Danio rerio: one gene and its partners. The protein of the gene in region 3 binds, or shares a complex with, the protein of the main gene of each other region. Links are inferred from orthologs where the notes say so. Each region holds a gene or a part of one and is shown on either strand. Other genes may lie near its edges.

What was found.
Region 1: prpf6 (region 3) and snrpf share a complex: the UniProt entries of both Homo sapiens proteins name them as parts of the U4/U6-U5 tri-snRNP complex. The link is inferred for Danio rerio from reciprocal best matches to the Homo sapiens genes PRPF6 and SNRPF.
Region 2: prpf6 (region 3) and snrpg share a complex: the UniProt entries of both Homo sapiens proteins name them as parts of the U4/U6-U5 tri-snRNP complex. The link is inferred for Danio rerio from reciprocal best matches to the Homo sapiens genes PRPF6 and SNRPG.

Annotation. Positions count from the first base shown.
Region 1 is NC_133182.1:19,364,431-19,368,188, reverse strand, and holds the start of snrpf (small nuclear ribonucleoprotein F), read right to left. Parts: upstream 2,860-3,758; 5' UTR 2,673-2,859; coding exon 2,670-2,672; intron 1,809-2,669; coding exon 1,683-1,808; intron 1-1,682. UniProt on the Homo sapiens protein: Plays a role in pre-mRNA splicing as a core component of the spliceosomal U1, U2, U4 and U5 small nuclear ribonucleoproteins (snRNPs), the building blocks of the spliceosome.
Region 2 is NC_133198.1:36,915,127-36,918,884, reverse strand, and holds the start of snrpg (small nuclear ribonucleoprotein G), read right to left. Parts: upstream 2,619-3,758; 5' UTR 2,502-2,618; coding exon 2,470-2,501; intron 2,235-2,469; coding exon 2,212-2,234; intron 1-2,211. UniProt on the Homo sapiens protein: Plays a role in pre-mRNA splicing as a core component of the spliceosomal U1, U2, U4 and U5 small nuclear ribonucleoproteins (snRNPs), the building blocks of the spliceosome.
Region 3 is NC_133198.1:7,083,167-7,086,824, reverse strand, and holds part of prpf6 (pre-mRNA-processing factor 6), read left to right. Parts: intron 1-2,394; coding exon 2,395-2,557; intron 2,558-2,645; coding exon 2,646-2,764; intron 2,765-2,844; coding exon 2,845-2,923; intron 2,924-3,658. UniProt on the Homo sapiens protein: Involved in pre-mRNA splicing as component of the U4/U6-U5 tri-snRNP complex, one of the building blocks of the spliceosome.

The DNA of each region.
Region 1 (3,758 bases), on a different chromosome or scaffold from region 3:
AATATCATTACAATATATGTAACAATAAAAAGACAAACAACATTAACAAATAAAATTAGATAAAAACTTAAAATAGTTTAATTCTACCATCTTCGAAAGATTCACTTTTTTTTTTTTTTTTTTTAAATAGTTGCTTTAAGGCACAGGTGTCAAACTCAATTCCTGGAGGACCAAAAGCTCTGGACAGTTTAATTCCAACCCTAATTAACCACACCTGATCAAACTAATTGAGTCCTACAGTCGTTTGAAACCTACAGGTAAAGCGGCAGGCACACTGCACCCCTATAGACTTCCATTTATTAGCAAGTAAATGCCTTAGACAGGAAACGCAAGCTCGTGCCACAAGTTTCGCAGTTCGATGTGTTGGAAACTTAAAGCTTGGTGAACTCTGACCAATAGAAGATCAAAACACGACCTCTCTGTACAGAAATTTTAAATATGGTCAAATCGTAATCAGCTTGTTTAATCCCGCCCCTTTTTGCAGCACCAAACGGCAGAATTTCACATGCTCAAACTGTAGTGTGGGGAAGCAGGGTTGCAACTAAACTATGCAAGACTGCGGCCCTCCAGGAACAAAGTTTGACATCCCTGCTTTAAGAACTCTCCAGATAAAAATGGTTATCTAAAACATTTTAAACAGGGCATTGCAAAAGTATCAACTCGAGTTGAGTTTTATTGTCATTCCGCTACATCTGTGGACACACAGTGAAATGTCTTGCAGGACCACAGTGCAACATAAATAAACTATCATAAATATAAACAACCCTTATAGACATAAGAGCGATTTTAAACCTATACATAACTACATAGCAGAGCAGTAATTAACTATACATGTACTAAAGACCTTTTTGAGGGATGTAAACAATAACAATGGTCCTACTGTATTTTCAGTAGCTTCTGAGAGTCCAAAAAGTCCCACATATTGATAGTTACAATAGCTGTTATAATAGCTGTTATATAAGTTATGAATGAATCGCCTCTTGTTACAGATATGAATTGACAACAAGCAGGAAATATTCATGGGCCAATGGCATCACCACATTGAAACGGTCTATAAATAGTAAAAAAAAAAAAAAACTTTACGCATAACCTTAGACAGACTATACAAGTACTTTTATATAAGACAGAACAATATTGTGCAAAAGAGATCATTTAAGGTTGAAGGAAATGACCAGTTAAACAATTTGTGGTACAGTCACAGGTAAACATTGTTTTTTTTTTTTTATTAAGTCCTTGTAAGAGATCTAGAAAAACTTGCATTTAGAGAGATTAGCATTTCTACAGGTGGTTTGTCAAGCCCACTCACCTGTGTGAACCAATCTCAGAAATGCACAATGTTTTATAGAGCTATGAAGTGGTTGAAAGAGAGGGTCTGGTACAAATAGACAAAACTAGTGCAAGTGTGTCAAGGAGTGTTTATAAAGCCCACTCACTTGTGTAAGGCACACTCAGAATTGCTAAATATTGAGGTTTTCATATGAAGTGTATATGCTTGACAGCTAGGTTGCCATTACAATATTTACATTTTTGGCCACCTTCTGCTTTAAGCAGATGTCTGTGTGTGTCTAGCATCTCCATAATGGCATATACAACGGTATGTCTCGAGTTAAAAAGAATAGTTTAAATTTTCTTCCTACTAAGGAGCTGGATTTTCATAGAATCGTTAACTCTTTTAAACATACCTGCATGTTCATGTACCCATCCACTGACACCAGGTAGCCCTTGTACTCCATGCCCCACTTCAGCTTCACCATCACAGGCTTTCCTGTCAGACCATTCAGAAAGGGCTTTGGGTTCAGCGGCAAACTCTGAGGGAAAAGATCAGTGTTACACAATTAACATCATTCGAAATCAATCCCTAAGTGTCATTTTCAAACAATTCCATGTCAACATAATATTGTTCCTGAAGAAGTAAAATACTACAAATGTTGATGATTTTATTCTCAAGTGAGTGAAAAGCTTAGAAGAAACTTTAGCATAGCCTCCGGTGATGCTCAGTCATATTTGACCAAATAGAAAAAAAAAAAGATTTACATTTTGGGTTTTAGTTTTTTTTCTTCATCAGCTTGTTATAACTTTTAGTAAAAAGTTTTGACACTAGCCGCATGAATTTACACAAGCAAAATAAACAAATAATAAAAACAAAACAAAAACAGATACAATTGATATGACTTCATTTTAAATTGTAATGACAAATTCTCATTACTGTAGTTTGTGGTATAAAAAATCAAAACACGCATGCATACACACAATATATATATATATATATATATATATATATATATATTGTATAACTTCAATAAAACAATATAATAATTTACAGCATTAATTGTTTTTGGTTTCCACCAGAATTAGCTGCAAATAAGCATCAGTAATAGCAGAAAAAACTCCTTTAACGTTAGTTTTTATCTTTAGTTTTCCCACACATATATCATTTAATCGCATTTTGGGAGTCACCGACTAGGTTGTAAGAGAACAAGGAGGAACATTTATCAGCAAAGCTCAACATTTCTAACACAACACTGAAAATGACTGAAAACAACGTCCAGTCTGCGTTCCTGATGCTAACACCTAGCCGCATTATCAGCGTATTTATGAATGAAAACGTCTACGCTCTTTCGCCAAACTGAAGGTTTGGATACAAATAAAAGAGATAACGATGAACTTACCATGACTGGATTACTTAAGTAGTATTTTCAGACACAAAAATTGTTTATTTGAATAGTATAAGCTAATGCAGCACACTCGCACGCCTTGCCGCCGAAAGAGGGAAGGACTACGAGCGCACTTTGACCGCACGGCAGGAGAGAAGAGCGGATCTGCCCGCTGCGCCACTCGCTGGACAGGCGGGGAATAGAGCCGTGAATCCTCAGTTGAGCTGGAGTGGAGGTCTGAAATTAAAGAAATAGTTTATCCAAAAATAAAAATGTACTTACTATAAACTATTTCCGTTTGATGATGTCGTTGGCCCATAAACATTTCCTGCTTGTTATAAAACTGTTTCACAGCTGTATCAAGAGGCAATTCAACCATAACTTAATGTTAAAACAGTTCTTATAACATTATTTATCAATATGTGGCTCTTTTTAGATTCTCGGAAGCTATAGAAATTTAAAATGTAAAACAGGAAATACGTAAGGACCATTGTCTTTTGTTTAGATTCCTCAAAATTGTCTATATAGTCACCCTTGAGGGGTTTCTAACCTTAATGAGATTCTTTTTTTTCATTTGAAAACAAAAATAAGATATTTGGAAGTATGTTAAAACTGGTATTGTTGTTTCGAAAATGTTGGACACCGGTAACTATTGGCTTCTATTGTATTTGTTTTTCATCATATTATAGAAATGGTTACCAGTTTCCAAACATCTTCTTTGGTGTTCAGCAGAAGAAATAAACAAGTGAAGGGTAAGTAAATGAGAACATAATTTCATTTCATCACTATCCCTTTAAAAAAATTAATATGTATAAATTATTTTATATATTTATTTTGTACCATTTTTAACAACTCCCAAAACAGCAGCAGTGGATCATTTTATCATTTCATTCAACGAGAACGGAAACTTGCAATCATTTACAGTCTTTTAGATTTGTATTTGAAAGCACAACACATCTAATTTCTCTTTGATTTGTACAGTAATTTAGCTTTGCAAAACTATTGACCCTCAATTATATAAATAAAAAAAAATGCAAATATCCCACATCAATCATTTAACCGAAGACTTGCCCAGTAGGTTTTTGCATTTCATTACCATCTATT
Region 2 (3,758 bases), about 30 Mb from region 3:
GCCAAGGCACTTACAAAAATACATTTCTTCTGATGCCATCTATCTAAAATGAACATTTACAAGCACAAAGACGTGGAATCGATCTATTGTAAAAGGTACTTTGTAAATAAGCATTTGCTATCAGTTCAGAGTCCCTTCTTCCGCTACGATCAGTGGTGAATTAGTCTTGTCTGGTTCTGTTCATTGTTGATTGGGTGAGAGCAGCTCAAGCTTACTGGCTGTGGAAATCAGCGGGCGTGGCTCATTATACTTCAGGAAAGCGCCGTTTATAACGCGCGTTTCAGTGGGGTTAAAACGGCGTTTTAAACGGCGTTTTGTGGCAAGCGGATCGCGTCATAAACCGCGCTTTTCACTAACACTAAAACGGCGTTAAAAACGGCGTTTTTTACAGGTTTACGCGCGTTATTTGCGGCGTTTGCAATCAGAACGGCGTTTTTAGCGGCGTTTGAAATGGTATTAGCGCCGTTTAATGCGGCGTTTTAATTGTAAACGCGATTGATTAATAGTGTTTTTATGAGCTCTTGGGCTTGCCATAAGATGATGATGTGCGCGCGCGGGACTTGTTTTCTCGCGCTGGATCAGTTGAGCGCGCGCGTGAAGATCCCCTGTGCGCTTGCAGCTGTAGTTTTCTCGCGTGTCTGTAATCTGCTCACGGTTCACTTCTCCTCGCGCGCAAACATCACCGCTGCGCTCGATTTATATTGGCATTGATTTGCCGACATAAGACGAGTCGGACATGATATTTAAGATCCCACATGAAATTTAAGACCTCCTTATGGAAAATTACAGAATTCAAGACATTTTCAGACCTTAAAAATCGAAAATTTTATTTAAGACATTTTAAGACTTTTTAAGGACCCGCGGGGACCCTGTAAAATACATCATTGAACGTTTTTATTGAAATAATATTAATATATATTAGAGCTGCACAATATATCACTTCTTGAGCAATGATATTGAAATGTGTGCATCTGCATTAGTTACATCGCAAGATAGGCGATAGTTAGGATTATAGATGACCACCAGAAACCACTAGTCAAAACACACAAGATTTGTGGAGACACTGCAGAATTTAAGCACAATAGAGTGAAAGTTTATCATCACTTTAAGGCATGTGGCTGAGCATTTGAAGAGAGTTTAAAACATTAGTAGTGCATGAAAATGTTTAATAAAGATTAATTTTATTAAAATTTGTGTATGGTGAAGACTACACAGTGCTATTTTACATTTGATTATTCGATTTCAGTACCTGAATCAGGGTTTCTGCAGGTTATACAGTTAAATTTAATTGTTTATAAAACCTTTATTAATTACATTTTAGACCCATAAAGTGCTAAAAGCTAAGGAATTTTTCAAATAGCCCTGATGGAAAAGATTTTTATTTGCCCTATCAAAAACATTATTATATTTTAATACATTTAATAATACAATAATAATAAAAAAATATATATATTTCCGATTTTATTTCTTAGCAAAATATTGTGTAAAAACAAGCAAGCTCTAATTGTATCTATACACTTTTTTCCTCAACATAAACTTTCTTTAAAATAAAAAAAAGAACAAATATTTTAAAACTTTTAAAAACTACAATAAACTAAATCTATGCACAACAATCTCTCCTGTTCAGTGTCCTCAGTAGTAAATACATGGAGAACTTTTAAACACATGTTATTGTATGGAAAATAATTAAACCATTATGGTAAATAGATTAAAAATTACCTTTTTAAATAAAAAGTTTAAGGTTTTGTTGAGAGGATTGTTGGTGATTGTATGGGTGTTAATGGCCAGACTGGGTAGCAACACATGACTTTAAAAAAAAAAAAAAAGAATCAAGACCTACACAATACAATATTTCAGTCAAATTAATACTTTTTAATGGCCAAATTTTGGATTTTGACATTTAAGACACTGTGGAAACCCAACTGAGTACTGTTAGACTCTCAAGAAACCCATTAAGGACGGTTTATTTCACTTTAATAATTACGTTACCCAATTGTGTGTGTGACTAGTTTGTATAAGAAACTACATTAAAATGTATATTTAAATTTCACTCCCCTACAAAACCACTTTTCAAATATTTAATTACTTAATTACAAAAAAGAAAATATCGCAATGTATAGTTTTTTCAATATCGTGCAGCCCTAATATTGAGCTATAATTCATATTTTAACTGGAAAGAGAAACATCTAACGTTATTAAAAGATTACTCACGTGAAAGCTTCTTGTCCATAAACCTAAGAGGGGAAAAGGCACTTTCTTAATTCACAATAGATACACCACCAAACTGAAAGCTAACTCATATAAAATATATCAAAATGGATTAGCAATATAAGTTATGCTTGATGTGAAAATAAAGTAATTTAGCCGTTAAACTGAACACACACCGGCTAACGTTAATAAGTTGCCCATGTTAAATACTTCTTAATATCAAATTTCTAAAAAACTCAAGAAAATACTTGAAATACTTACTTTTTCAGCTCGGGTGGATGTGCTTTGCTCATGTTTATTTAGTGAGATATGCTAGTTTTGTCAAACAAATACGTTTGAATCACGTTTCAAGCGTTGTTCGGAGAATGAGTGAAATGCAGGAAGTGACGTTTTGGGTCGCGGGATTTTTCCCTTGTACTAGCACCATTGAGTAATATTGCCCTCTACTCCGGCGGATGATGAACTACAACAACAACAACATATCGACAAGGTCGCTGGTTCGAGTCTCGGACTCTCGGCTGGGTCAGTTGACATTTCTCTGAGGAATTTGCAAGTTCTCCCCGTGTTCGAGTGGGTGTCCTCCGGTTTCCCTCACAGTCCGAAGACATGTGCTATAGGTGAACTGAATAAACTAAATTGTCTATAGTGTATGAGTGTTTCCCAGTACTGGGTTGCAGCTGGAAGGGCATCTGCTGTGTAAAGCATATGTTGTATAAGTTGGTGGTTCATTCTGCTGTGGCGACCCCTGATGAATAAAGGGACTAAGCCAAAAAGAAAATGAATGAATATTATACAGGCCCATAGCCAGCCTGGTAAAAGGGGTGGTTCTTTTTTCTAAGTAAGTTTACCTTTTTGCAGGTATTTGCCTCATTTTCTATTTAATTATTAGATATACTGCATTTTAGTGATATTTTAAGCACTATCTTTAGCTGAATTAACCTGTCGAATAGTCATCATAACCACAATTTTGATGAATCAAAATATTTCCTAAAATTTTGGAATAAAGAAAAATAAATAAATACATATTTTTAAAAAACAAATGTTACAGCCAATATTAATTAAAAAAAAGGAATCTATTAATGTTTAAATTAAAAACTGTAGCCTATTATAGCGACATTTATTGGGCAAACAACAACTTGGCCAGCTCATTCAACTGTCCTCAGTTAGAATTTGCCCATTTGAATACATATTATTATTAATAATCAAAGGTTCAAAACTGATAAGCTGAAGTCACACCGCAGCAACAGCCAACAGAGGATTACAATTGGTTTTAAGACCCTTTTTGCTTAGTTATTTTTACAATTTATGAAGCATAGCAATTATAATGAGACAAACAAGCTCATATATGGAACAAATGTTGGACCTTTGTTAGTGAGGGGTAGGTCTTTCGAACCCCTCAAAGCCTATTGAGGTAAAGTTAATTTTTATATTCGCACATTCACACTTTCTCCTTAATAATATAATTTCAGAGAAGTATTCACTGCAAATTCTAAATAGTGAAATCATATTAGCAGCCATCAACCATCAAAGTGCAACATTGTTGACAGTCA
Region 3 (3,658 bases):
GTTCATTATGTCAATATGTGGTTTCAGCATTGGCATCGACTCATCAGCAATAGTCATATCGCAGAATCTGCAATGTTGATTTGGGATTATATAGTTTAGGATTATAAATATTAAGATTTAGGATTATATAAAATACATGAGATTTGTTGAGTTTATGTACTTTAACCTTAATGGAGTAAAAGTTTTATCATTTGCACGTTTTTTTTTTAATAAAGTATTTCCAAATAGAGCTATTCAAATCATCTGGTGAAATTAGATATAGAAATTACAATATATTGCAGAAATACAAGATATTTCTCAAATATATAGAATATTATCAACAGATTTTTCCAATATCATTCAGCCCTTATTGATATATTGAATATCGTTGAAAGTCCAGGTGAAATCAAAATTTAAAATCTTTTTTTTTTTTGCTGCTGTAAATTGTTAGACTTGGGGGGAAAAATCAGTGTGTTTGTTTTGGTCATCTTCTTTTAAAAATCTGACCTTTTTTCCACTCTGGAGGGGTGTTACGTTCTTTTAGATGTTATATTAAACTAGGAGTAGATGACATAACATACAATAGTTTAATGTGTGTGACAAGCGGATGGAGAAAAAAATAAACTGAAAACCAAATCTCACTGCAATTATTTATTGCCCATACATCCAATGAAACCAGTGAAAATATATAATACAATGAAAGAAAAATATTTACAATGATTAAATGATGAATTACCTGGGGGGAGAGGAAGTACTTGAATGCGCTTAAATCAAAGAAATAAATATAACAAAACTCAGTAACTGTTTTCACCAAACTAAACTAAATATAAAAAGAAAAGCATGAAAAAAAAAACATCTTCAACATACCAAACGTCTTAACTAAACTGCTCTAACTAAGAACAAAACATGCAGAAAACAGCACATTCTCCTGAACCTAATGAACTAATACAAAATATGCATCTGAATGTTGTATTTGTATATCGCACGACTTACTCACACCTACACCTCTCCGAGGTATCACTCAAACATGTCAGTTAACAGGACAAGTTCACAAGCAAACACATTAAATTAATCTCAAACTTTAGACAAGAGCATTAAACACAATCAAAACACATTCTCTCAGACTAGCCCTCGCAAGAGAGACTGTCCTCAGAGAGACCCACAGAAAGAATAAGAGCGAGAAGTGGCGAGAAGGAAAGAGACAGAGAGATCGCCATTGCAGTTTGGGCTCGGCTTTTAAACGCTACGCCAACCAGTGATTGGTGGCGCAAACCCAGCGTCAGCAGGCAACATCATCAGCACGAAATGCGGATCCTCCAATGCCATTCGTACCTGCGACACATGCATGAAACGACAAACCCACATACAAACAAACGCACACACTTATCCAAATTACGTTCTGCAAGCGAATGTTACAAGTGGCTATCTATCACTGATGTCAGTTTGACAGCTTGTGTGAAATGTTTAGTCACGCCCCTCTAACCGTTAGTTTGCTGTCAGTCATAGATGTATACACTAGATATCGCATAGGGACCCTGAGCATGCGTCAATAGAGCCTCTACATTGGTACAGTGCTCCCAGAACAAATGTCATTCAACCGCACTAGTCAAGACAGTGTTATTATGTGAAGATGCTGGACTTTAGCGCTGTCTATGGGTGTAGTAACGACCAAACAAAGAAAACAAAGCACAAAGGCAGAACATTTCATAGGTAATATTGAGTTTTTTTTCTGTTTTTGTATGTTCTGAACTTTTGTGCTAATCAGGTAACATTATGGATGATAGTCACTTACTGCATTCACCATAAGGCAAAGCAGCTCCAACTCGCACTAAACACTCGGCTTATGCTATTTTTGTTGAATAACAAACAATGCAAAAGAAATATGACAACGAGATGCTGCGCTGCCAGAAACTGGTATTGATGTCGGCTAGTGAAAGAGTCGTTCGGTGGATTCATTCACAAACGAATCGCTCCCTCCGTCAGTATGAGGAGTGAAAGCAGGAGAGGAGGTGTGTTTCAGGACATGATTTGATTAAATTTAACAGGGAGGGTGAATAGTACATTTCTGTACACACAAACACAAGCTTTTTGTCAGGAATGCCCATGCAGTCACTGATCCATCAATGTAGAAAAATAATGTAAAATTATAATTTTCGCAATTAGAAAAAAAAAAAATTACATATTCACATCCAGGAAAACTCCCGATCATAGATATATGTGTATATGTGTATATCTCTGGCTTTGGATGGCCACAGAACCTCCACTGTACCTTGGTCCCGCATTCATTTCAAAGGAGCGCTACCCTGTACCAAGATGGCAATGCAAGAAGTTTGCTCCAGTCTTCGATGTAATAAAATCTATTGGAAACCATATGCTGAATTTCTTTGTTGAGTTGTAATTCAATGTGCTCTGCAGTGCCACGGGTTTCACCACACGATCTGATATCGGTCCTGCTCGTGATGCCAATGACCCAGTTGATGATCGCCACGCACCTCCGGGGAAGAGGACGGTGGGTGATCAAATGAAGAAAAGCCAGGATGATGATGACGAGGATCTCAACGACACCAATTATGATGAGGTACATTTCGCAGGCGTCATATTGAGTTGATGTGCCAAAATGCAGCAGAATATTATTAATCTATGCCTCTATATCCTGTATCCTCTAGTTTAACGGCTATGCGGGCAGTCTGTTCTCCAGCGGGCCGTATGAGAAAGATGACGAGGAGGCCGACGCTATTTATGCTGCACTGGATAAAAGAATGGATGAGAGACGGAAAGAAAGAAGGTGAGCTTGACCTTTCTTCTGTCGTCTACACTTGCTGTTTATGTAGAGCGTTTGGGTTGATTTGACTAATGTGTCTGCAGGGAGCTGCGAGAGAAAGAGGAGATTGAGAAGTATCGTATGGAGCGGCCTAAAATTCAGCAACAGTTCTCAGACCTGAAGGTTTGTGTGGCTTTTATAAATATCAAAAAAAAAGTTGAAGAATCCTAAGATTCTTCAGAATAGTCCAAGTTTAGCGTGAAGACAAATAAAAAAGGATCAGACTATGCAACAGGTTTCCATCAGTTAAATGTTATGATTTATTTCAAAACTTGAACGAATGATCTGTCTAACTTTTACAGCATTTATCAATTAACATAGTGTAAATATTAAGGGTGTAACGATATTACAAACCGAACCAAAATATTGCGATACAGCAACCACGATACAGAGTACCGCGGTACTGTCATGCTCCTGCTTCCCATTGTTGAGGTTGACGTAACTTGTCTCTAACTAATTGAACCAATTTAAACACGTCTTTATTTATATCACGTCTTTATATTTGATTAAATTGTATTAGTAATGATGAGCTTTTGTTCTAAATATTATATTCTAAAGTTAGTATTTTCCAAGTACGTCATGTTATGTGACTTGACTGAGCGATCACTAGGCCCACACGGAATCTGCGCGCGCAGAATTCCGCAGATGTTTCGCAGATTTTCAGCAGAATTCCGCAGATTTCTGCTGATTTTTAGCCCATTATTAATTCTGTTTATTTACTTGAGTAAATGTGTAAATCAGAATTTATTCAGTTTTTATTCAGTAATTTATTACTTTTTATTTAATATATTATGGTTTTAGTTATGATACTCCGCTGGATACTCCCAAAATAATTCCGCAGAAATCCGCAGATTTTTT